Linked DNA regions of Xenopus tropicalis. The main gene of each other region encodes a partner of the protein of the gene in region 6 in a complex. Links are inferred from orthologs where the notes say so. Each region holds a gene or a part of one and is shown on either strand. Other genes may lie near its edges.

The links.
Region 1: smarcb1 (region 6) and smarcd1 share a complex: the UniProt entries of both Homo sapiens proteins name them as parts of the BAF complex. The link is inferred for Xenopus tropicalis from reciprocal best matches to the Homo sapiens genes SMARCB1 and SMARCD1.
Region 2: smarcb1 (region 6) and smarcd2 share a complex: the UniProt entries of both Homo sapiens proteins name them as parts of the BAF complex. The link is inferred for Xenopus tropicalis from reciprocal best matches to the Homo sapiens genes SMARCB1 and SMARCD2.
Region 3: smarcb1 (region 6) and dpf1 share a complex: the UniProt entries of both Homo sapiens proteins name them as parts of the neuron-specific chromatin remodeling complex. The link is inferred for Xenopus tropicalis from reciprocal best matches to the Homo sapiens genes SMARCB1 and DPF1.
Region 4: smarcb1 (region 6) and dpf3 share a complex: the UniProt entries of both Homo sapiens proteins name them as parts of the BAF complex. The link is inferred for Xenopus tropicalis from reciprocal best matches to the Homo sapiens genes SMARCB1 and DPF3.
Region 5: smarcb1 (region 6) and actb share a complex: the UniProt entries of both Homo sapiens proteins name them as parts of the BAF complex. The link is inferred for Xenopus tropicalis from reciprocal best matches to the Homo sapiens genes SMARCB1 and ACTB.
Region 7: smarcb1 (region 6) and smarce1 share a complex: the UniProt entries of both Homo sapiens proteins name them as parts of the BAF complex. The link is inferred for Xenopus tropicalis from reciprocal best matches to the Homo sapiens genes SMARCB1 and SMARCE1.

Annotation. Positions count from the first base shown.
Region 1 is NC_030678.2:148,808,472-148,811,971, reverse strand, and holds part of smarcd1 (SWI/SNF-related matrix-associated actin-dependent regulator of chromatin subfamily D member 1), read right to left. Parts: intron 1,564-3,500; coding exon 1,447-1,563; intron 717-1,446; coding exon 615-716; intron 503-614; coding exon 341-502; intron 1-340. UniProt on the Homo sapiens protein: Involved in transcriptional activation and repression of select genes by chromatin remodeling (alteration of DNA-nucleosome topology).
Region 2 is NC_030686.2:15,739,913-15,743,964, reverse strand, and holds the start of smarcd2 (SWI/SNF-related matrix-associated actin-dependent regulator of chromatin subfamily D member 2), read left to right. Parts: upstream 1-1,252; 5' UTR 1,253-1,284; intron 1,285-2,123; 5' UTR 2,124-2,170; coding exon 2,171-2,272; intron 2,273-4,052. UniProt on the Homo sapiens protein: Involved in transcriptional activation and repression of select genes by chromatin remodeling (alteration of DNA-nucleosome topology).
Region 3 is NC_030684.2:77,399,072-77,403,057, forward strand, and holds the start of dpf1 (zinc finger protein neuro-d4), read left to right. Parts: upstream 1-1,186; coding exon 1,187-1,218; intron 1,219-3,986. UniProt on the Homo sapiens protein: May have an important role in developing neurons by participating in regulation of cell survival, possibly as a neurospecific transcription factor. Belongs to the neuron-specific chromatin remodeling complex (nBAF complex).
Region 4 is NC_030684.2:106,457,046-106,460,545, reverse strand, and holds part of dpf3 (zinc finger protein DPF3), read right to left. Parts: intron 3,030-3,500; exon of another isoform or gene 2,577-3,029; intron 887-2,576; exon of another isoform or gene 885-886; coding exon 760-884; intron 1-759. UniProt on the Homo sapiens protein: Belongs to the neuron-specific chromatin remodeling complex (nBAF complex).
Region 5 is NC_030685.2:46,572,744-46,576,800, forward strand, and holds the start of actb (actin, cytoplasmic 1), read right to left. Parts: upstream 2,801-4,057; 5' UTR 2,775-2,800; intron 1,740-2,774; 5' UTR 1,734-1,739; coding exon 1,611-1,733; intron 622-1,610; coding exon 382-621; intron 7-381; coding exon 1-6. UniProt on the Homo sapiens protein: Actin is a highly conserved protein that polymerizes to produce filaments that form cross-linked networks in the cytoplasm of cells.
Region 6 is NC_030677.2:153,157,578-153,161,077, forward strand, and holds part of smarcb1 (SWI/SNF-related matrix-associated actin-dependent regulator of chromatin subfamily B member 1), read right to left. Parts: intron 948-3,500; coding exon 820-947; intron 1-819.
Region 7 is NC_030686.2:8,354,895-8,358,394, forward strand, and holds part of smarce1 (SWI/SNF-related matrix-associated actin-dependent regulator of chromatin subfamily E member 1), read left to right. Parts: intron 1-1,826; coding exon 1,827-1,999; intron 2,000-3,500. UniProt on the Homo sapiens protein: Involved in transcriptional activation and repression of select genes by chromatin remodeling (alteration of DNA-nucleosome topology).

The DNA.
Region 1 (3,500 bases), on a different chromosome or scaffold from region 6:
ACCACATGCCAAACATACACTAAAGAACTGGAGAACTTTTCCTAGTATTGCAGTATTTGCATAATTAACAACTGTGAGTGTATAGATAGGTCAGTATAGGTTGTGTGTGCTGGGTTTAATTGGAAGGGTTGAACTTGATGGACTCTGGTCTTTTTTCAATACAATGGAACTATGTATGCTGTATGTGGAGAACATAATGGGAACAACAGAAACACTTAAACAAGTAGGGCACAAACTTACAGTTACAATCAGATATTAGGCTTTTCGAGCGTAAACGGTTTAAAGCAGGGCTTTGTTTACTTTTTGTATTAGTGGTATTTCATTGGAAATAGGCACTTACCTGCTGCAGATACTTGTCACATATAATAAACTCCCGTTCATGAGGGTCTTGAAGTTTGTGAGTCTTAATGTACTGCCAAAGAGCTTGAATGATGACTGGACGAGTCTGAGTGTGAATCCCAAGGAGGCGAGCCAGTCGGGGATCAAGTTTAAATTGTGGTGGCTACAGTTAAAAAACACACACAGAACTCAAACACACAGTCTGTGATAGGAATTTGTCTTTCATCGCTGCATTCACAGAAATATTCTTCAAATAGTACACACAAAGAACACACCTGATAGTCAAGCATCAGTAACACGGTGCAGCGCACGTTCATATCCCCAGGGCGCTTCACCTGAAAACCATCAGTCTCCTGTGTTGTAGGAGTTCTGTGCCACTAAGAATGAAAATATTACAGTAACTTAGTGTAACTCTATACAAACAAATAATGTAAAGACTGTCAAAATCAATATATTGGTAGTTTACAATGTTTAAAATGTCACAAAATGCAAAGAAAAATTGACTGATTTCCTATTCATTTCAATGCTCACTCATATTTTTGATCTGTAAAAGAAAAGCTCTATAAGGCCAATATCAAAGGCTATTTTGGCTGCTGATGACACCACCAAGGACGAAAACCGCTGCATACAAAAAAACAAAAATCCCTATCCACCTGTCCATAGTTCCCAAGGTAACAGATAGGAAACAAGCCATGCATGCACTTTACTGAGTGGAGGTACACCTTCCAGCAGTATGTGTGATTCAGGCACTGCCTTTCTCTTCGATTGCTGAAAGCAGTGGGGGAGAAAAACCCCTGTGACTGGTCAGTGGAGCATGTGCTGGTTTGCACAGGGGCAATCCAAAACAAGAACTTTAAAGTTTAGATAACCCAAAGGCTGTACTTCCTTTGCCTTTCTTTAATTAAAATGGTCAAAAAAAAAGCTAGACTAAATGAAAATATTTTATAGCAATGATGGAGTTTTTACCAAAAGCTTCTCCTTAAAATGGCAACACTCCTTGTATTGATCACAATCAATGGTTATCAAACATACTGTGTCTTATTCAATGGTAAAGCAGCCTTGTTTGCTAAATATTTTGCTGGCTTTCAGCAAGTTCACAGTGCTCACCTCCACCAGGTGGTTATCCGGCCCATACAGGTCTTTATCCAGCTCAATAACTAGTGACTTAAAAAAAGATGAGAACTTTCTCTTCTGTTTGGTAGCATCATATTTAGAAAGTGCCGCCTGCAAAAAAAAAACAAACACCCCTTAAAAAGTACTCATTCTGTAAATATACTATACAGCAACCTGCAGTGTAAGGGTCCCCATACACGGGTCGATTATAGCTGCCGATATTGGATCCTTGGACCGATTCGGCAGCTTATTGGCCCGTGTAGGGGCAGAACCGAGGGGCCTGGCCGACCGATATCTGGCCTGAAATTGGCCAGATATCGATCGGCCAGGTTAGAAAATCCAGTCGGATCGGGGACCAAATCGGCTCGTTGATGCGGTCCCCAAACCGACTGCCCCATTGGGCCAAACTGCCCCAGGGCCGAACGATCGAATTCACCTACATGCCTCCCCGATATCGCCACCTGTAGGTGGGGATATCGGGTGAAGATCCGCTCGCTTGCCGACATCGCCAGGCAAGCGGATCTGCCCATGTAGGCCAGCTTTAGAGAGAGATAACACACAGCAACAAATCAGCCACTAGCATTTACTGGCTGTCAGTTTGAAACAGACTGACTGGTTGCTATTGTCAAACTTAAGAATTACTATTACAATCCCGTGTAAGTGTATGAAGTCATAGAATAATCGTTTTCATCCACACAAGAACCTGTTATTTAAAAGGCCAGTAACATTAAAATAATGAAATTACCATAGCATTATTTCTCCCGATACATAGACCTGGTTTATTTCAGCACATTTGTTTTGAGCTCTGCTTTGTTTAGACATCTTTTATCTGTTCTCTAAACAAAGCACTGCCAGGTCAATTGTATTGAATGGAAACTTAGATAATAAATACTTATGAGCTGCCCCAAAAGCCCTACCAGAACAAGTACAGGTATTATGAAACACACATATATCATGGTTTCTAGAAATGGAGACACAATTACTGAGCACAAACTAAGTGAATACTGTATATAAATGCTTTTAGGGCCTTTCTAGTGTTAATGACCTTAATACCTTTTTAACATACCAGTGGGTCATTCTATCAATTTAAAAAGAAAAAAAAACGCACAATTATTTTTGTCTATTTTAAAGCAATAGTGGATCATTGTGTGCAATGTATTGCCTCCATATTTACCCTCTGATCCTTCACAGCTGCGGTCTGGCTCAGGTAGCTTGTTATTCTGCATCCCCATGAATTTAAAGGGACAGAAAGATGTTCCACTTTAAACAGGGTGATAAGGTTGATATAGGCTTATTCCCATGCTGCTGTTAAAACTGCAATGTTTCACTATCCCTTTTATACCGCCTTAAAAAGTTAAGCTCAATTAACAATGACACTTCCCCACTAGTAAATCTTTCTGGTATTTAAACAAGCGCCTCATCCAGATCTACCAAATAAATAGTCACTTATAATTTAATATATATAATTAACTAAGAGCACTGCAAATATTGTATTTCTTATGCTTGTCCACTCAAACCAAGTTCCCCAACAGAGAACAGGTTTTGTTAGAAGCACCAATATGGTCAGAAAACAGCCGCTGTAGTTTAACAGTTCCCTGTCTCCAACTGCTTTAAATGGCCTTTCTGCATCTTATTATAACAGAAACAGATAGGCCCTTCTTCCTGAACTTCATTAAATGGCACAGAAAGGATCTGACAGCTTCTATTGGAAATATTTCATCTCAATACAGAATTTCATTAAATTAGCTTCGGCTCTTCTCCCTCCCGTCAGCTTATATTAAGCTGAGCCCACATCTTGCTGATAAAATTCAGCGCTAAAATGGAAAATGTCAGGGATGTCATTATCATTCATTTTAACGGCAGTTCCCCTTAAACCCCAGGATGAAATATCCAATAAGCATACCATTTTTTTTTTCTAGAGGTCTTGTCAATAAAACTTTTATCTTTCAGATTAATTACTTTAAAAGGAAATAATTACTTTGAAAAGAATAATAAGTATGGGTCTTATTAACCAGTTTTGAGGGATTCATAAAGCAGTCAGTAAAGAG
Region 2 (4,052 bases), on a different chromosome or scaffold from region 6:
TAGGGTTGGGGTAGCAGGGTGTGCACATATAGAAAAGGGCAGGGGTGGCACAGGTACAGAGGGGAAGGGCAAAGGGAGTGGAACTGGTAGGAAAAGGCAGAGTGGGCACAAGTAGAGTAGTGCTGACAGAGAAGGTGGCACAGGTAGGACAGGAAGGCAGCGAGGGTGAGTACAGGTAAGGGAGGGCAGGCAGAGAGAGTGAGTGCAGGTAAGAGAGGGCAGGTAGAGAGAGTGAGTGCAGGTAAGAGAGGGCAGGTAGAGAGAGTGAGTGCAGGTAAGAGAGGGCAGGTAGAGTTAGTGCAGGTAAGAGAGGGTGGGTACAGGTGAGAGAGGACAGGCAGAGAGAGTGTGGCTAAGAGAGGGTGGGTAAAGGTGAGAGAGGGCAGGCAGAGACAGTAAGAGAGGGCAGGCAGAGAGAATGAGTGTGGCTAAGAGAGGGTGGGTACAGGTGAGAGAGGGCAGGCAGAGACAGTAAGAGAGGGTGGATACAGGTGAGAGAGGGCAGGCAGAGAGAGGGAGTGCGGGTAAGAGAGGGTGGGTACAGGTGAGAGAGGGTGGGTACAAGTAAGAGAGGGCAGGCAGAGACAGTTAGTGCAGGTGAGAGAGGGCAGGCAGAGAGAGGGAGTGCGGGTAAGAGAGGGTGGGTACAGGTAAGAGAGGGCAGGCAGAGAGAGGGAGTGCGGGTAAGAGAGGGTGGATACAGGTGAGAGAGGGCAGGCAGAGACAGTTAGTGCAGGTAAGAGAGGGTGGATACAGGTGAGAGAGGGCAGGCAGAGACAGTTAGTGCAGGTAAGAGAGGGTGGATACAGGTGAGAGAGGGCAGGCAGAGAGAGGGAGTGCAGGTAAGAGAGGGTGGGTACAAGTAAGAGAGGGCAGGCAAGGAGAGTGAGCACGGGTAAGAGGGGGTGGGTACAGGTAGAGGAGGGCTGGCAAAGACGAAAGAGAAAGGGCAGATGACAAGGGGAGGAGGGGAAGAGAAACAGAGGGAGGAGAGACACAGGAGGAGGGGAGGGGAGGGAAGGCAGTGGGAGGGCAGAGATGAGAAAAGGAGGTTTGTTGCAAAACAGCTCTCTGGAAGTGATGACACCAACAGAAAAACCTTCCAATAACTTCCTATGAGCCGCCCGACAGCAGCAGGAAGGGGAAAGTGCTGAGCGCTCGGTTTGCGCCCCGGGAAACTACAGCCGGAGGATCGCAGCGCAGGGATTGCGCATTGAGAGCAGCTGTACGGGCACAATTATACGGAGAGAGGCTGAACCCCGCTGGGTTTCACTGGGGAATCCGGTTAGTAGTGCTGGACTAGCTGTAGGATAGCGGCTTTGTGCTGTACTTAGCGCCGGGCTTACACGCGTGTTACTGCTACGGGCACACAGGGCTACAGTCTGATAGGCATAGTACTGATACTAACACGAACTCTATAAGCTTGTATAACTGAATAGGGCAACACGTAGAGGATAAATATATACACACAATTTATGTATAAAATGTGCGTGTGTGTATATATATATATATATATATATATATATCAATCCAAATGGTGTCCGCACTCCAAGGCTCAATATTCTGCGGGGTGCATAGCCAAAATTATGTATATACAGAAAATAATCATCTGTGGCCAGCACACCCTTCAATGTTTTATCAAAAATTTATTGAAGATATATCGTTAAAATTGTTTAAAAGTCAAAGTGCAAACAAACTAGCCAACACACACTTTGCGGGGCTGCACAAGTAGCCAACACACACAGCCAAGACTGCACAACTAGCCAACACATGCAGTTCAAGGCTGTGCAACTAGCCAACGCACACTTTGCGGGGCTGCGCAACTAGCCAACGCACGCAGTGCGGGGCTGCGCAACTAGCCAATGCACGCAGTGCGGGGCTGCGCAACTAGCCAACGCACGCAGTGCGGGGCTGCGCAACTAGCCAACGCACGCAGTGCGGGGCTGCGCAACTAGCCAACGCACACAGTGCGGGGCTGCGCAACTAGCCAACGCACGCAGTGCAGGGCTGCGCAACTAGCCAACGCACGCAGTGCAGGGCTGCATAATTAGGAATTCTACATTATATGATTCATTAGGAAGGAGGTTGTTCACACAGAGTATATCCCTCTTGTATATACACAGCATTCCTTCACCTGTGCACAGTAGTGCTGTCTGCTGTTTAACACTCCATGACCTCTCGGGGAGGATTACCTCTACCATCTGGGAGCCCAATGAACATGATGCGGGGACCAAACCCTGGAGCATACAGACCCCCAATGGGGCCTTACCAGGTAACCATTTCCAATAGCAATGTATTGTGCATTTCCATCTTCCCTGTGCTAGATCACTTCATTTAGAATTTAGAACATTGTTTATCCAGTTTTAATTGGGCAGAGTCAGTAGGTCCAAGTTGCTGGGTCTGTTAATAGTGCCTGACTATCACATGCCCGTTTGTAGCATGTGACTAGCAGAATCCAATGGCATGAAAATGATTTACGCCTGAAGCATGATTGTGTTTTATATGCCATAGCTGCATCCAAAGTCAGGCACTAGTGCACAGAACGCTTGCATCTATAGAATTGCACATTGACTGTGCTACTGGCAAGCTGCTACTTCTGGTTTCCAAATCAGACTAAATGCGACTAAATGTTGAGCTGACTGATTTGTGACTTGTGTAGCACACCAGGCCCTTGATCTAATATTTCTAGAGCATTTTTCGGATGCAATTGTGATCTGAAGCAGTCATGTTCAGTTACAGCTCAGGTGACCTATTGAATTGCATCGCAGTTGTACAATCCAAAGGTAAAGTCGTTGGTGTAAATAAAGACTGTGGATGTTTCACTTTCATCCAGTATCTTTCTAAATTCTTTGTGTAATTGTGAAAAATGAGACATAACATCTTCATGTGACAATCAGTGCACATCATTATGGTCCCAGGTAGGCAGGAGGAGAGTATAGATAAGGCCTTGATGGTTGCTAAGCAGGGCCTAGATAATCTAGGATGGCTTGTGTAACCATTCCAAGAATAATATAATAATAGTAATCCTACATTTTATACAATGGTGCATATCATGGTAAACAACTGATCAGTTGATTTAAATCTACTTCACTTTATAATTGTCTTTTCACTGCATGTCACTGTGGTGTGTTCTGGTATCGTTCACTCCTTTTTAATTTTTCATTTTCATACATATTGGTATAGTTCACCAGCAAATGGCATGGTCCGAGTTTGCTGTTGATCAGTGTGGTACAGTTTGGTATAGTTCATCACTGGTTGTTTGGAGTATGGTTGAACTGGTATCATTCACTGCCTTTCAGTGTTGTGCATGCTGGTATAGATCACTTTAGGATGGTCTATTCTGGTAGAGTTCACTGCCTAGGAATGTGGTATGTTCAGGTCTAGTTCAACACCAGTCAGTGTGGTACAACACAGTTAAGTTCACTCTCTGTCAGTGAGGTACATGCAAGTATAGTTCATCACTGGCACCTGATACCATTGGTAGATGTGGTGCATTCTTGTACAGTTCACCATTGGTAGATGTGGTGCATTCTAGTATAGTTCACCATTGGTAGTGTGGTGCATTCTAGTATAGTTCACCATTGGTAGTGTGGTGCATTCTAGTATAGTTCACCATTGGTAGTGTGGTGCATTCTAGTATAGTTCACCATTGGTAGTGTGGGGCATTCTAGAACATGTCCGCACTTCCAAATGTGGTGCATTCTAGAACAGGTCAGCACTGGCAGATGTGGGGCATTCTAGAACATGTCCGCACTTCCAAATGTGGTGCATTCTAGAACAGGTCAGCACTGGCAGATGTGAGGCATTCTAGAACATGTCAGCACTTCCAAATGTGGTGCACTCTAGAACAGTTCACAATTGGTAGATGCGGTGCATTGTAGTACAGGTCACCACTGGCAGATGTGGGGCATTCTACTGACCTCTACTTTTAATTTTAAATTGAATGGCCTTTATGATTGTCAGGTTTTCTCAGTCTCATTTAATTTCAGCCCTTTTAATCTAATTTTAAGATAAAGATCCATAGTGACCTATTAATATGAGGTAATGAGGAC
Region 3 (3,986 bases), on a different chromosome or scaffold from region 6:
AGTGGCGCAATGGTTAGCTCTTTTGACTTTGGGGTCCTAGATTCAGTACCTAGAACTCAAATTGACCACAGAGGGCATAATTGTTATAGGTACTTAGAGCTTTATGCTACACTTGGGAAGGGACTGGTGTGAATGATATATAATCTTTGCCAGGCGCATAAGAATGTGTTAGCACTATACAAAGAATAACAATAATTATAATGTGGCAGTGTGAAGGGGGGCTTATTATATGAGGAATATAAAAGAAGCAGCTGAATACAGGTGCTTGACATAGTACTAAAGTACTCACTTTATGTGGAGTTTACAAGAAAGTGGAGCGCACACCATATCTGTTTGGCAAGGCCACGGAAATGGGGACCTGCTGCATGATCTGTGCCAGCAATGGGGACTATGGGAGCCCTGCTGATGAAGGACACACTTTTCCCTTACCCTTCCATGGTGACTGGTTCTCCTTTCTTTCCTGCAGGTCCCTGAATTGCAGTGGGCACACTATCTTCCTCAAGGCTCCAATCTTCCCTGCAGCGTACTTGTATCTTATTACTGGACCTGCAATCAAACAAATTTAGGATATAACTGATATTAACAACTTCAGTGTTTTCCTTTATCAGTTTTAAGTCCATTCATCCCCTCCCAATTCTCTCTCCACCGCCTGATCTCTATTATTCTGCTCTCCCCTCACCTTCTCCCCCCCTTCCCCCCAACCCACTTGCTGCATTTTTTTCTGCTGGCTTGTTAACAAAAGGCCCTTATGGGGCCTCACCAGCAATGACTAGGCTCGTCCTATTTTTATCTCAGTTTTCCTCACAACCTGACTGCCTCTCCCACCTAACTCATAAACTTGCCTGTCTCTCCCTTTTTGACAATCCCTTCCCGCGCCCCCCATCCAACACACAAAGTCTCCCCTTCCCATTGCCCCCAGCTCCCCCTCCTCCCTTTACAGTACCTTAACCTTCTCCACCAATCATTTTCTTCTTCAGCCTCCCAGACTTGTCCCTCGCAATGAACTCTGGGCAACGTAGTGCCATTTTCAATTCATATTCATACTGGCGCGGCTCTCAAAACTACAACTCCCAGTCTTACCCTCAACACGGCCTTTGATTGGCCATTGCGTGCAGAATGAATGAAATTGTACAGTATTGTGATATTAGAGGGGCTGCAGTGTTCCTGCCTAATACCCAGCTGCACCATGAACACAGCCCTCCACAACCCCTTAAAATCGTGAGTATACTGGACTTAAAGATAGTTACAGCTGTGTATACTGCATTTACACTGTCTGAGACTGTATATCTTTCAGATGTATACATGTGTGTTTAGCATTATTACAACATGGACATATCTACATGAATACTATGCATGAAAGAGTGTGTCTGCCTGCCAATTTGTGTATTATAGTGTGTGTGTGTATGTAATACATTTATTTGAGATTATATATATATCTATATATATATAGATATATGTGTGTGTGTGTGTTTGTTCTGTACATTTGCATGTAGATTGTTATATATATTAACTCTTGTGGGTGCTATATATATATTAAATGTCAAAAAGTGGAATCAACCATCTATTCTGCACGTATACTATGCATTATAGAATTTCACAGTGAGGTCACATCCAGCTGCTTTTAGAGGAGGGTCTTACATCTGGATTAGACTGTATCCTTAGGGTATGTCTGAGGTCTAGACTGCGACTGCGATCGTTTGCCTATTATCTATCCATGTATTTAGCTACCTATTCATCCATCTGTCTTTGCCTATCGTTCCTTTGGGAAAGGGAATTTATTTGTGATTACCCATAGTTCACTTTTCTACAGCATTTTCATATAAAATGTACAGCAGTGTTTTGCTGATTTTAATAGTATTTGGTTGCACCTGAGTAATATGAATTTTGAAAGCTAAATTTAGGGTATTGTCTTAAAAATAAAATCCCTGTAACTTATGTTAACACTATTAATGCATTTTATGCATAATATTTATTCAAAAATATGTAATATGCTTAAATATGTGTTTTAAGCCATACATAGCACCATGCAAGCAGAGCAAGTGAGCTGAGTGCCTGGGAACCTTCTGTCCTTAATTCCTAGTGCACATCTGGGCAGACTGTATGCACGTGATAAAGTAGCCATTAACCCAGTCAGTGCCTGAAGTAATCAGACTGTAATAATAAGCAAATAATGGATACTGCATCACTCTGCATACTGTTTGACACTAAATAATTATTTGTAGTTTTGCAGCCATGAGCATATTTAAAGCTGCAGAAGATTATAGAAGAACTGCATTTTGTCAGATATGAGTAAAATATGGGTTACTGCTGTCACCTAAAATCCTATATTTCTCCCAGTGGTTAAGCTGGGGACATTTCACTTTAACTCATTCAGCTCTGACTGAATACAACTGTGAGAGGCAGTTCTCGTTCTTTCTGGTACTGTGTGCAGTTATCAGTTTAACCTAATTTGATTTGACACATGCACTGCAAAATATAGTATGACTGCTCTCTGTAAAATGCATTATATGCATGCTTTTTATCAAAAATATTTGCAGATTGTGACTGTAGCTTTGTAAGCAAATTGGCAAGGCTTCTCTCTCAAGCAATGCACTGGACATGAAGACTTGATAAGGAGAAAGCCTTTATTGAGTGAAAATCTAATGTTACAGATTATCTTATTGGTAAATTAAATTTTTGGTAAATTAAAATACAGTTACTGTTACTAATCTTGCTTTCACAAGGACTTACATATATGGCGCTGTTGTATTAGGCTGTATGCCACACTCACATATATTATAAGATCCGTGTATACCTGCTTTAATTTGACAATTCTAATTTCTTTAGTATATTTGTATATTAAGGAGACATTGTTTTAATCATTTTTTAAAGAATAATAAGTTTTATCACTTATATTAGTAAGTAAAACAAAGGAAATTTAATTTATTAGAGGCACTGTGTCCAAAAGTTACTGCTTGGTAAATTTAAGCTAGAGTTTAAATCATTTTTAGGATAATTTGGCCACCAGAGGACATGGTTTCAGTGGACTCTGTGGTTCATATGTAACTGGTTGCATTGGTGAGAAACATTAAGGCAGCTTTTACTGCCTTATACAAATAAACATAATGATGCGCAGATAAATAAGGCCATGGTAAATACCTTATATGAATTTATAGAAATATAAATTGAATATAGGCCCTTTTACACTACACTAGAACTTAGTAAAGCACAAATTATGCAGTGTAAGTCCCTGTGTGTATATATATATATATATATATATATATATATATATATATATATATATATATACAGAGATCTGCATGTGCACCCAAGCAACCCTGATATGTTTTTTCTTTATGTGTCCTAACATCATTTCTGTCATATTGTTGATATTTAGGTACTATATATACTTTAATATATATTTAATATGTACTATATATATACTTTAATAATGAATGCTCCTTATATATATTTGTTGTGTGCTCAGCCTGGTGTAGTAAAGGGGCAGTATTATGGCAGAAAATAATTGAACGTGCATTATATTTTGACTGTTATATTGGTACACACTTGCCTATCCACTCAAGCTATCATTCCTGATCTTATAAAGTTGCCATTGAAACCAGCATTGCCAGTTTCCAAGCTGTCTGGGTCCTGTCTGTGTCTCAGCTCCAATTATATGTGTGCAGACATCTCATGACAGTTCTGCCTGACTGGGTGAACCCAGCCTGTTACATATTCATATCTGTGGGGAATTCATATATATTGTATCTGTGTGCATAATAAGCATATATGCTCCCATGTATCCATAAATGTACATTTTCTGTATACATGCACATGTATTGCTAAGAAAATACCTCTTCATAATAGATTGTTATACAGTACTATAAAATAATTATGTCATGCTTTGTGAATATTAATGATGACCACTGCAGAACTGAAGACTTACCTACTGTAAGATATAACTAGAAAAATATCCTATCTGAACAAGGCAATGATACATTTTGGAA
Region 4 (3,500 bases), on a different chromosome or scaffold from region 6:
ACATATGTGGTGTGTTTATGGTGGTAGACAAGGCGACTAATATTGGTAAAAGCTTTGGATATTGGTCGCCTCGTCAATTAGGCAGGATGGAAATTTATTGTCGGGCACCTTTGAAGGCGGCCAAACATGGGTGCGGGAAAGATTGAAATTGTAAGGTGCATGGCCAGCTTTAGTTTCCAGAGGAAATCATTGCCCCAATCACCTAAATAGGTGTATTTCATTTTTCCAGTGACCCCAATGTAAGCTGTGTTTATTTGGTGAAAAGCTCTAACAGGTCATGTAATAAAAGGTGCAAAGTTTGCAACAGGTCTTGTCACCTATGGCAAGTAATCAGCAGGTAGCATTTACAGGTCACCTGTTGAAAACCAAACATCTTATTGATTGCTCTGGGTTACAGCACTACAGCATTGGACTAGGGTGTGGGGGGCCTTCTGTGGTTGCCACCCCAGGGGTCCCCGCCGACTGACCACCCAAACCCCCTGAGCGCACAAACTTTATACTTTCCCGCAATAGGGGGAGGGAGGTCAGTGGAGGAGTGCCAATGCTTTGGATCAGGTATGGGCCAGTGGGGCCCACCAGGTTTTTTCCTGGCCCAGTCCAACCCTGCAGCACCAAGACAAACTTTGTGACTCTTATTACATATGGGAGCTGCTGCCTGTTAAGCACTGCATACATGCTACTCACTCAAATAGAGTCAGTGGTAATGGTTTAACTGACTGTTGTCATGTTCCTTCATGTGGCATGTGTGTGCTAATGTACCTGAATCTCTTGTAGACTTTCTTCATCTCGAACATCTTTCTTCTCAATTCCTTCACCTCGTAGCAAGGCTTCCAGTGTCGTTCCTTCTGCCAGAACATTGTCCTTCCTCAGAGGAAAGTCAACATCTGTAATTAAATACAATAATTATATTGCTTGCTTTCTGTATCAATATTAATATGGTAACAACTAAAATCTCTAGCTCATTTGGCCGGGATTAATATCATCTTGATTGTTTATAACACATCTGAATAGATTCATGATCACTTTGCTTAGAGAGAATGCAATACATTTTAATCTACACTTCTCTAACTTTTCTGATTAAAAGGGCAAAAATTTTAGGTCCGTATACGTTTTCACTGACATTCCGATGCTAGCAATCTAAAAAAAAAAAAAAAAGTGGAGAATTAGCTATAAGGATGATTTTTGGAAGCACACAGCCGTTGTAATAACATAACACAAAATTTTGAATTAATGTGCCATAGGCATGCTAAAGTGTGTATAATTCTGCCCCTAAGTGACTCTTCCTTTTTTTCTACTCCTCATTTTTGTTAATGCATCTAGTGCAATTCATACAGGGTAGTGTACCAGGTAGAAAAGGAATCTGTACTTATTCCAGATACATTACACCCACTGACACTCCTTGCACTTGTATAAGTACAAGTAAGGAGCCTGCAAAGTGACACACAAGCCCCCCCCCCCCCTCCAAACTGCCAATCACAGACAAGGGCACATCTTTGTACCTTCAGAATGGGGTTTAATGATTTGCACCTTACACCAGCAGGGGCAATTTAAAGACCATGCCAGGAATGTAGGTGAATAATAGGCAAAAAATTTAACACTTTTTGTAAATTAGCTTTTTGTATTTTAGTTTTTATAGCCTATCCTGCTGTCATTAGTGCTTAAGTGAGTTGTATTGAGTGTGATGACCGCCCCATCTGTGTGTACCTCCATGTTGGCAGAAATAGAATGGCATAGACTCATGGCACATGGTGGCTTAGATACAAAGGAAAGAGTTTTGAATTACTTGTCAAAATCAGTCATAGGATGCAATAAGGGTGATATTTACAAAATATTGCTCCATTCTTTTATCAGATACAATCTAAAATATCTTATTTTTGAAGATCTGTAGCTTAAAATGTCAGTGGTGGAAAATCACAATTACTTACGCCCAACAAAGAATAATATGAAGGGGTACACTTTAACACAATGGTTCCTATAACCCTCTGCAACGCGGCCTCATTAAATACAGCACAGGTTGCCATGAAATACACAGTCTCACAAAGATTGCCGTTTTGGTAAGGCTAATGTTTGGAACATTTCAAAACCTTTATTACCTATGATCTGATTAGTTACCCTTTACCCATTTCCTTATATATGCACAGCTTTAAGTAGGCTGAGGCCTTCAACTGGTAAAAAACAGGTTCTGTATTTCATTTTAAACTCAGCCATAAACACCACTAAATAGATTTAAGAGAAGTGTCGGAAATCCAGGATAATATCACACATCTACCTTGGCCTTTACGACTGCTTTATGAAACATATTTCATTCATAGAAGGTTCTGCATGTTCAGAGTCTTAATTTTTTAAGTAATTTTCTAAGTAAGTTCTAGAAACAGTTTATAATGTGAATATCTACAGTTAGTATTAGTGGTTGTATTTATAGTTTATGTATGTGAGTGTATAGATTGGTAGGTGTGGGTTGGGTGTGCTGGGTTTACTTGGATGGGTTGAACTTGATGGACACTGGTCTTTTTTCAACCCTATGTAACTATGTAACTATAGTCAAAGGAGGATAAAAAAAATCTTCTTTTCCTTAGGAGGAACATGCAGATTATACCGTCAGAGGCAAAAGCACCATTTATAGTATTCACAATACTTCACCGCACTTGCAGGGTTCCTGCTGAGTGGCAGGTAAAATCACTTTTTTTTTTTTTTTTTGTATTTCAACACATCTTTATTGAATAGCACACAATGTGGTTACAGCATTATTGTCATAATGATTAAAGCATATGTTTACAATCAAATGTTCTCAGTTATAAACAGTAAGTGAAAATCACTTTTTTTTATTGACAATGAATGTAAATGTATTTGTGTAGGACATTGGCCTATTCCATCTGCACACACCAACTAGTGGATATTTTCATTCAAAACTTATAATCCTCAAAACAGGCTCCCGGATAAATGTAGCACCAAATCAAAGTGTGTAAATGAAATGACATTTTATCTGTATTTGCATTAAGCTAATGTCAGACATGGTGGTTTCACTGCCAGCAGAGAAATGCACCCAAGCCCCTTAATGGAAAGCCAGCTACATCTTCTGTGCTCAGTGGTTTTTGGCCAGAACACTTGTTGGTGGAAATAGGATGGTGGAGGGACCACCATGTGCGACATTAGCTGTAAGCTTATTATCTAAATAAAAGGTATATGTGCTACATAGCGAGAGGTGTGTATGGTGTTGGATACTATCTCTGTCTTGCCATTTAACAAAATCTTATCAAAAAGGTAAATATAGTAGGAACAAAACAGTTGATGTGCCAACATTCCTTAAACATACAGAGAATGATTAGAGAATTATATACATTAGGCTCTTTGAACTGAACTTTGGAGGTAGACACCAAGGGGCACATTTACTAAGATGCATTTTTTCTGGCCTTGGAAGGTGATTTGGTATAAATTTGAAGTAACCACAATAATTTCTGTAGTTGTAAATGTCTTGACAATGCTTTTATTGTTCGTACGAA
Region 5 (4,057 bases), on a different chromosome or scaffold from region 6:
CATGATCTGTAATGGTTGAAAAGGCAATTAGCACATTACCTGCATAAAGGCATCCAAAACTCATGCATGTGTAGTTTCAGAACAGCATTTGATTTTGCTGCACACAACACAAATTTAGGCAGGGCCAATGTGAGGAAAAACACAAGCAAAGTGAACTTTGAAAAACAAGCCATCATTCAGCACTTTTCACACAACGCTAACATTGTTAGTATTCTACCCTTGATGTAAAACAGGCAAATACTGAAAAAAAACCTTTGAGATTCCAGTAAACTTTGAGGCCAGGACAGCCCTGTAAGGAATAGCAATTATATAATTAAAAAACAAAAAACACAAAACAAAACCCACAACCCAAACCCTCACACCAGAAAACAGGTAACATACCTGCGTCATTTTCTCCCGGTTAGCTTTGGGATTCAAGGGTGCTTCTGTCAGCAGCACTGGGTGTTCCTCTGGGGCCACTCTGAGTTCATTGTAGAAGGTATGATGCCAGATCTTCTCCATATCATCCCAGTTAGTGACAATGCCATGCTCAATAGGATATTTGAGTGTAAGAATACCTCTTTTGCTTTGAGCTTCGTCTCCTACGTAGCTATCTTTCTGTCCCATTCCAACCATGACACCCTAAAATAAAGCGTAAGACAATTTGGACTAAATTAAGTAATTTAGTAAATGAAAAGCATGCCTTAATTCAATACTAGCCAGACAATGGAATGAATAAAGTGGATTTTCATGGACCTCACATAATGCAGACTTTAAGAGGAAATTCTAGAGTAAAAGCTCTTTTGGGCAGGGCCCTCTAATTTCGTAATACTTCCTGTCATCTTGTGCTTACAGGAAACAAGAGTATGCAAGAACATTTGCTATGTTAACCACGCCCCTGTGTATTTCACAAATAAACAGAAGTAGGCAATTTGCAAAGAATATGGAAATGTAGTGTGCAAAGTACAATATATATATCATATTAAATATCTATATACACACACTTAACCTGCACTTAATTAAAATATTTTTCCATTTAAATTAAACCACATTACACTCTGAAAAGAAATTCTTTTCATGCAGGGTTGGAAAATGTAACTGGCTTTAGCACTTACACAGCATAAGTCAATAAACAGGGTTTGTGTGGACAGTATAAAGAGTTTATTTTAAATATGCCTACTCCTAGTTTCAGCCTTGCCGAGAAGTGCCCAAAACCAGCTTAAAGGAATAACCGACACAAGCCTAGGGCACAAGAGTTGGGGGGTGCCCTAGGCACAGCTATTTATGTGATTATTCCTGCCTGCAGTGTTTATTTGAAAGAGTAAAAAAAAAAAAAAAAATAAAAAAAATTGCATCATCTTATGCAACACTTTTTGGAAACTATCCTTACGTGTATGGTTTAAAAACACTCAATGGCAAATATATTGTTACCAACATACCTATAACCCATGCAGAATTGCAGTTTTATTTGCCCCCAGATTAGTTTCACCTTTAACAGTTAAATACATAAAAAAAAAAAAAAAATGTTTTACCTCCTTGGGACAACACACTGATTTGTTAGAGGTGCTTTACTAGTTTTATTTCTAGGTTTTATTTAGACATGAAATGAAAAAGGCATGAAAAGGGCATACCTGATGTCTTGGGCGACCAACAATGGATGGGAAAACAGCACGGGGTGCATCATCACCTGCAAAGCCGGCTTTGCACATACCAGAACCATTGTCAACGACCAGTGCAGCAATATCGTCGTCCATTGTAATCTGAAATTTAAAAAATAAATAAAATTGAGATAATTATCCACCCAAATTATGAGCGCTGGTATATACCACAAGGACGCTTCCTGCCCATTACTTGCATTTCATAAGGTCTGTCACAAGAGGGCGCAGGGGTTTGCACCATTTCTGTACAGATTTAGACAAAGGGAAATCGATTTATTTTCTGTATTACCAAATAAGGCAACAGCAAAGATTTACACAAGCACCCCTCCCATCCAGCCATGGATAGTGAAGGTGTGGCAAAGAAACAAGTCACTGCTGGTATTAGGCAATCGAACCAACCGACTACCACTCCCAATGTTTCATGAAGGCAACACTACAGGACAGAATCACATACTGCAGGTGTGACTCCGTTTTTACCAGTGCAAGGACAAAATAAATATATAAGATGTAACTTGCGCTTTTGTATTCTAGTTACGGATATACATGCATATGGAAAGTCTAAACCGAAGCGGGAGAGAACTACCGCCAATATATTTTAGACAGCAAAAGGCTGTTCCGACACAGATTGCATCACACACTTATACACAATATGTAGCTTTGTGTGCAGCCTCACACTAACATCGGCAGGGAACCGCCCAATCGCACATCCCCAAGCGGCGCTGCTATTGGGGGCTCAGTTTACAGAAGAGGAAACGATACAAAAAAAAAACAAAACCCTATTTTTAAATGCAACTTACAAGTTAAACCTGCTGTAACAGAAAAATGGTTCCCCAGCTCTCCAGTATGTACAACCTACAACTTCCAGTGTCCTTTATCAATTAAGATCTAATTAAGCATATAAGGAACTGAACTTTAGCACAATTCCAGAACCAGGCTTCACGCTTGTCTACTAACAAGTCTTACCTTCAAGTAAATAACGCTACATTAAGCTACCAACTATTTCAAGCACATTATGAAAAACATAGCCAATTAGAACCAAATCATGCTTATTCTAATAATATATAGAGAAAAATAGGCGAATAGAAGCAGGAAATAGCAGAGGAAAAGCACAACAATAGCAGGCTCGGCGCTACTTGCCTGAGAGTACGACACACACACTGTCCTGTTTCTGTGCGGGCGGGTCACTGAGCAGTTGTCGGGCTAGGGCGCCGGTTTTATGCTGCGCGCCCCAGCCGGCTGCACCATATAAGGAGCGTTCCAGGAACTGGGAAGCTGATTGGCTGTAGGAACTGCGGGCGAAGGGGGCGCGTAGAGTGAGGCAGTTACACCTACTAGCTAGGATGCGGATACGTATATACACAGATACGTACATACATAGATATCAATATACATATATATGTTTCATTAAATCTACACTTAGATATACCACGCCTTATCCTTTCCATTAATTGCTGTATAATAAAGGGCGCGGTGCAGAACTCTTTCTTTTTATATTCTTTATTGGCCTGAAATGATTTACTCTCTTAAAACATGGCTTTGCAAAGCAGATAGTCTGCACGTTTATGTCTGCAGAAATGTCAGGACCAAATGCAGTTCGTTAGGATTTCTGCAGCCTGCCGAGACAGTAAGCTTTGTAACGTTACAGTGACGCACTGCATTGTGTTGCGTACAATCCATGAATACAGTGACTCGATTGCACTTCTTGTCTCTAGCGCCAGCATATTGTGATAGTGCCTAGTTATTTCTTCATGTATGGCTGTGTTGTAAGGGAAAGAAAAGTATCATTATAGCACATATTTCCTTATATAAACACTTTTAAATCGCCTTCCCTGCTCTGAGTCAGCGATACTGCTCTTTGTCCATACTTCCATTTCCTATGCAGGTCAACCATTTGTTATTTAACTTTACAGTTTACAGCTCTACAATGACCTCTGGTACTCATAAACGTATTTATTGGTTAAGCTGATACTGTCGAAGATCATCCGTCCCCCTGAGAATAAAATGCAACGTATGTAAGGAAAAAAAATCTAAACTAATCTAAAGTAAAACATTTGGAGCCCCATGCAGTAACTGGAATGTGAGCTCCCCAAGTAACCAACCCTCATATCAGCAAAGACCAAGTTTATCAGCAAAGTCTAAGTTTACTATGACTATGACCTTCCCTGCCAATCTCACTCATATGTTTTTTGAAGCCTGAAGAACATGCTTTTTCACCCAGGTGCAAAAAAAAAACAAAAGAATGCAAGGGTCAGCAAATTTAGACCCTCCTTTAAAATGGAAAGAATGAATGCCCCCCCAGCGAGGAGGCCTGAAGGGGCAGGTGTCTTAGGCCCTCTTCATCAGGTCTAGGGGAGTCCTATTTATCCCCTACCCTGAAGCCAAAAGTCCTACAACTGTAGTGGTCTATAGACTGTCCTTTA
Region 6 (3,500 bases):
AGTGCCTCATTTGCCCCCATAAACAGTACCCCCCCATAGATAGTGCCCCCAATTGACCCCTTAGACCATGCCCTCAATTGCCCCATAGAAAGTGCCCCCCATACAGTGCCCCCCCATACACAGTGCCCCCCATACACAGTGCCCCCCCATACACAGAGCCCCCCAATTGCCCCCATAGAGAGTACCTCCAATAGAAAATTCCCCGCTCCTTATTCGGCTCCTCGTACGGCGGCGACAGGACCTTTTATAAGGTTGCGCCCGTGCGTACGTGTGACGTCACGCATACGCACGGGCGCAACCTTATAAAAGGAACTGTCGCTGCCGTACGAGGAGCCGAATAAGAATAAGGAGCCGCATGAAGAGACAAGCGCTCCGCTGCAGCCAGCGCGTCCCGCTGGCCTGGATTGTTTAATGAATGTTCTGCATTTCCGTAATGCGGGACATTCATTGAACAATCCGGGACAGCGGGACGCGCTGTAAAAACCGGGACTGTCGCGACCCCTGTGAAAGGGTCATTCGACCCCCAAAGGGGTCGCGACCCCCAGGTTGAGAACCGCTGACTTAGACTGTAAGCTCTATAGGGCAGGGCCTGCTTCCTACTGTGTCTCATACCACAAGGCATCTCTGTATTTATACTTATTTATTGTATTTATTATGACGCTTGTCCTCCGTGTGTAATTCTGTATACTGTAAGATTGTACAGCCCTGTGTATCCTTGTAGCACTTTATAAGTAAAGCTATACATACATACATACATGTTCCATGCACATTTATATAATCCTTCAAAAAGGATTTTTTTTAAAGAGCTTTATGCCATACCATTCATGTTCCACGTAAAGGCATCTCGAAGCTTCTGCCCATCAATTTCCATGTCTAATCGAATGGGAACCAGGACTTCTGACTGAGCAGCATTTTCATGAATGACTGCTGGATCATGGTCATCAAAGCTAAATATAAAAAGCTCATCATAACTAAAGGCCAAAGTATTAACTCATGTACACATCTATCCTGAAAGCAGTTCATCCAGTTCACAGTTTCAATCAAAAAGCTTAAGGGCCGTGACACACAGGGAGATTAATCGCACTGCGACAAATCTCCCCGAAAGGCCATTCCACTGGCTAGAATGTAAATCGCCAATGGGATGGCATACGCGGCGGCCCGATTTCCTCTCAAGGCAACTTCGGCAAATTGCGCCGCCGCGTCTGCCATCCCACTGCCGATTTACATTCTAGCCGGTGGGATGGCATTTCGGGGAGATTGGTCGCCCGTGACCAGGGAGATTTGTTGCGGAACGTCTAATCTCCCCGTGTGTCAGAGCCCTAAAGGAACAGTTCCTTGCCCTTTAAAATGCATAAACAAATGAAATTTTAACCTTTGTGACACAGACCACTATTAAAGGCTGTGTAAAAAATTAAGGTTGAATATATATATATATATATATATATATTGAAGAAAAGACCAGCAACACCGGATCTATTGTAAACAATCAATTATATATTGAAAAATACATGAACAGCCAACGTTACGTTTCGGTCCCCGTCGGGACCTTTCTCAAGGCAACCATGCTTTCCAACCATATGACCCATTTATACCCATAGTGACCAAACAAACAGGAAATGACATCAACCATAAAGTGACTATTGCAGTAAAGTGAGCAGTCAATGCTGCAAAGTGATCTGTGCAATAAATAGTAATTGTTGAAATATTAAGAATAAATACAGAACATGATGTTTAAAATATCATAAAACATTAATAAAGTGATATAGTGAAACAACCTGTCTCCTATTTAGTGTGATATATTACTTTACATCGCATAATGTGCAAATTATCTATGTGCATCATAAATTTTTCAAGGTGACCCCCCAATAATACATTATTGGTGTACCCTACTATATATCTCACAGTGTTATCAATACATAATTAAAACCATCATATCCATAAAATCAAATGTACATGAATACGCTACGCTAACTGATCCAGGAAAATTATTTTCCTGATAAATGGGGGCCCCCATTTATATTTAGAATCTCTCTAAAGCAATAATATTACCTAGTCACAAATTATATTATCTTATAGCAAGATGGAACAACCAAAAAAATCACAAAGTTAATGACCATATATACATATATGAGAATATATCAACTTGATCATAATAAACCAAATTTATACAGAAGTATTCACAAAAAACAGTTCAAGGACAGAGAGCTATTCAGACCCCTAGGAGCCACACAGTCCAATTCATACGTCCAAAACGCTTCCCTTTGTAACAAGATGCGGTCAATGTCCCCACCTCTTTGTGAGCCTGAAATACAGTCAATTGGCATACACTTGAATGATGATACTGGATGCCTAGCATGTAACCAATGTTGTGCCACTGGTTGTTTAGATATGTCCTGTTTGCCCTCCTTCTTCACAGGTTTAGGGTCCAAAGCGGCCCTAATAGTGGCCCGGTGCATATTTATCCTTTCTTTCAACTGCCTGCAGGTTTTCCCGCAGTATATTAGCCCACATGGGCATTTAATAATATACACCACATTGCGTGAAACGCACGTAAGCCTGTGTCTAATGGTGTAGGACTTACCAGTGTGTGGATGGTAGAAAGTGTCCCCCGTTATTAAAGTGTTACACATAACGCAATTACCGCACTTAAATACTCCCGTTCTGTTTATATGAGCCTGCGTAAAATACTTGCTTACCGGGTCCGCAGGGGACAAAAGTTCCTTTAGATTCTTATTCCTTTTGTATCCAAACCGGATCCGTTTGCGGTTAATTGCTGTCAGTTCTGCATCAGTTTTAACTATAGGCCAATGCTGTAATATAGATTTTTTAATCAGCGGGGTATGCACATCATAGGTGGTCATATAACATAAAACATCATCATCTGTATCATTATCGCAATCCAATTTATGTCTCAAGGTTGTCTCTCGATCTAATGTTTCAGCCCATGTCTTAGTGTTACCAATCAGTGTAGCAGGGTACCCCCTTTCTAGGAATCTTGTTGCCATGTCATCCAATGCCTTGCGCCTTTCCTCTTGCTTACTTGTTACCCTAACAACCCTCAACATCTGCGATTTGGGCAGTGAATCCAGAAGATGGCGTGGATGGCTGCTAGTGTAGTGCAATAGCGAATTCCTGTCCGTGGGTTTCTGAAATAACCTAGTGTGGAGCTGGTTGTCTATTAAATCTTTGCACACAGTTACGTCCAAAAAATCAATGCTGTGTTTATCCCTGTGTACCGTAAACCTTATACTTGAGGGTACAGTATTTAAATCTTGGACAAATGACAAAAGTTCCTCATCCGGTCCATACCAAAGAAAAAACAGATCGTCTATGTAGCGCCTAAAGTAACCACCATGTTTACGGAAAAGTGGGTGACTATAAATGTTTCGAGTCTCATACCAATGCATAAAAATGTTGGCATAAGTGGGCGCTACATTAGACCCCATTGCGGTCCCGGCCAGTTGAAGAAAATAATTCTCCTCAAATTTGAAGTAATTATT
Region 7 (3,500 bases), on a different chromosome or scaffold from region 6:
ACTTTCTGGATAACCGCTCCAATGTCTGTATTATAAAGGAGAGATAAATCTCAATCTAAGAATAGGTAGAATTTGTGGGTCACCTGTTTAAAAGCAAGCATCTTATTGGTTGCTATGGGTTACTGCTTCTGGGCAAACTTAGTGCTTTTTATTACATATGGGGGTTAAAGTCCTGTCAGTTAGAGCTCTAAGCAGTCCCCAATAGCCTCAGTTGTCAGAGGGGCACATGAGTCAGTAGCTGGGAGTTGCAGCGCATATTTTTGTCGCCAGTAGAATGCCGGGCACTCGCCCTGAGTAAATCTAACAGCTGGCACATTTTGACTCGGGAATGTTGTGATTACACAGGTATAATTTCTAGGCGTTATCTTTATTCAAGCAGAGCGTGTTCCTGCGTGTTACCAAACACTTTAATTGCAGCGTCCTTAATAGTCCTTGTTTGTCTGACTATAACTCCGTGTCAGCAACGTGATCCGGCTCAGTATGGAACCTAGCAATGTTCCTCACTGCCTTCGTTTTATTTACCCTTTATATATTGAATAGAAATCTAAATAGGGCTGTTCTGCCCCCAATAAGGGGTAATTATATCTTAGTTGGGATCAAGTACAGGTACTGTTTTATTATTACAGAGAAAAGGGAATCATTTAACCATGAAATAAACCCAATAGGGCTGTTCTGCCCCAATAAGGGGTAATTATATCTTAGTTGGGATCAAGTACAGGTACTGTTTTATTATTACAGAGAAAAGGGAATCATTTAACCATGAAATAAACCCAATAGGGCTGTTCTGCCCCAATAAGGGGTAATTATATCTTAGTTGGGATCAAGTACAGGTACTGTTTTATTATTACAGAGAAAAGGGAATCATTTAACCATGAAATAAACCCCAATAGGGCTGTTCTGCCCCCAATAAGGGGTAATTATATCTTAGTTGGGATCAAGTACAGGTACTGTTTTATTATTACAGAGAAAAGGGAATCATTTAACCATGAAATAAACCCAATAGGGCTGTTCTGCCCCCAATAAGGGGTAATTATATCTTAGTTGGGATCAAGTACAGGTACTGTTTTATTATTACAGAGAAAAGGGAATCATTTAACCATTAAATAAACCCAATAGGGCTGTTCTGCCCCCAATAAGGGGTAATTATATCTTAGTTGGGATCAAGTACAGGTACTGTTTTATTATTACAGAGAAAATGGAATCATTTAACCATTAAATAAACCCAATAGGGCTGTTCTGCCCCCAATAAGGGGTAATTATATCTTAGTTGGGATCAAGTACAGGTACTGTTTTATTATTACAGAGAAAAGGGAATCATTTAACCATGAAATAAACCCAATAGGGCTGTTCTGCCCCCAATAAGGGGTAATTATATCTTAGTTGGGATCAAGTACAGGTACTGTTTTATTGGAAATCATTTAAAAAAAAATTAGAATTATTTGATTATAGTGGAGCCTTTCTGTAATTCAGAGCTTCCTGAACAATGGGTTTCCAGATGATAGAATGTATTTTGTTTGTACCAGCTATGGAGGAACTAGGGAGGGGCCGGGGTCATATATATGCCCCCAATCATTACAGACCAAACACTTTGATGTGTATTTATCAGAGCACATCTCTCTCTCTGGTTTTTAGGGTGAGCGCTGCCTTTTAATGAGAATCTTTCCATCTGTCTTTCAAACCACTGTAGTTGCTAGGGTAAGCACTACCCTAGTGACGGCTAACTGAGCTGGGAGCTTTGGACCCATAGCCTTTTGGGCTGAACCATTTCTCACTAACATTCCCCTGCAGCTTCAGACCCTGAACTTCTCCCTTACTGTCCCCCCCAGATTATGACGATGGTTTCTCCATGAAGCACAGCGCCGCTGCCCGTTTCCAGAGGAACCACCGGCTCATCAGTGAAATTCTCAGCGAGAGCGTGGTGCCCGACGTCCGCTCCGTGGTCACGACCGCTCGAATGCAGGTTCTGAAAAGACAAGTTCAGTCTCTCATGGTGCACCAGGTAAGGAAATTACATTTCTATTGGTTTCACTGCAGTTTGTTTGATTTGGCCTTTAATATCAGGGGAAGCAGTTTTGCATTACGTGCCTTTGGTGCTAAATGAAGGTGAATGCATTTAGTGCTGAACAGGTGGGGCCCCCCACTGTCAGTACTGCTGAACAGATGGGGGGGCCCCTACTTTCAGTACTGCTGAACAGATGGGGGGCCCCTACTTTCAGTACTGCTGAACAGATGGGGCCCCCTACTTTCAGTACTGCTGAACAGATGGGGCCCCCTACTTTCAGTACTGCTGAACAGATGGGTACTGCTGAACAGATGGGCCCTACTTTGTACTTTCAGCTGGCTGCTGGGGCCCCTACAGTACTGCCAGATGGGGCCCCTACTTTCAGTACTGCTGAACATGGGCCCCTACTTTCATACTGCTGACAGACAGGGCCCCCTACTTTCAGTATGATGGGGCCCCCTACTTTCAGTACAGATGGGCCCCCTACTTTCACTGCTGAACAGATGGGCCCCCTACTTTCAGTACTACTTTCAGTACTGCTGAACAGATGGGGCCCCTACTTCAGTACTGCTGAACAGATGGGGCCCCCCTCAGTACTGCTGGACAGATGCCCCCTACTTTCATACTGCTGGGGGCCCTACTTTCAGTACTGCTAACAGAGGGGGCCCCTACTTCAGTACTGCTGACAGATGGGGGCCCCCTACTTTCAGTACTGCTGAACAGATGGGGCCCCCTACTTTCAGTACTGCTGAACAGATGGGGGCCCCTACTTTCAGTACTGCTGAACAGATGGGGCCCCCTACTTTCAGTACTGCTGAGCAGATGGGGCCCCCTACTTTCAGTACTGCTGAACAGATGGGGCCCCCTACTTTCAGTACTGCCGAACAGATGGGGCCCCCTACTTTCAGTACTGCTGAGCAGATGGGGGCCCCTACTTTCAGTACTGCTGAGCAGATGGGGGCCCCCTACTTTCAGTACTGCTGAGCAGATGGGGGCCCCCTACTTTCAGTACTGCTGAGCAGATGGGGTGCCCCTACTTTCAGTACTGCTGAGCAGATGGGGTGCCCCTACTTTCAGTACTGCTGAGCAGATGGGGGGCCCCTACTTTAGAACCTTTGGGTGTAGAAGGGCTCTAATTCCAGGTGTTACATTAGGCATGCCCTTTCTTTTATTAGTAAACCTGTCTCTCCACTCTGTGTCACAACTAGAAACAGGGCAGAAGCGAGCCGCTCCCTTGGGTGTAGTCTGCGTGCACATAATTAACCCAAAGCCCATTGCTCCAAAATAAGCAACTCATTTCAAGATGAGAACACTCCTGTGAGTTTGTTTCCACAGTCCCAGTTACCAGCCCGTGTGTCCCTTTGTCAGAGGGCAAATAAACTGCCGCAGCAATTGCAAACATCTGGACAAAACAAAGACTCCAATAAAACTAGGTTTTTAGTATATCCTTATTAATTTCAGAAATATCTTGATAAATAAATAAATATACATTTAGAAA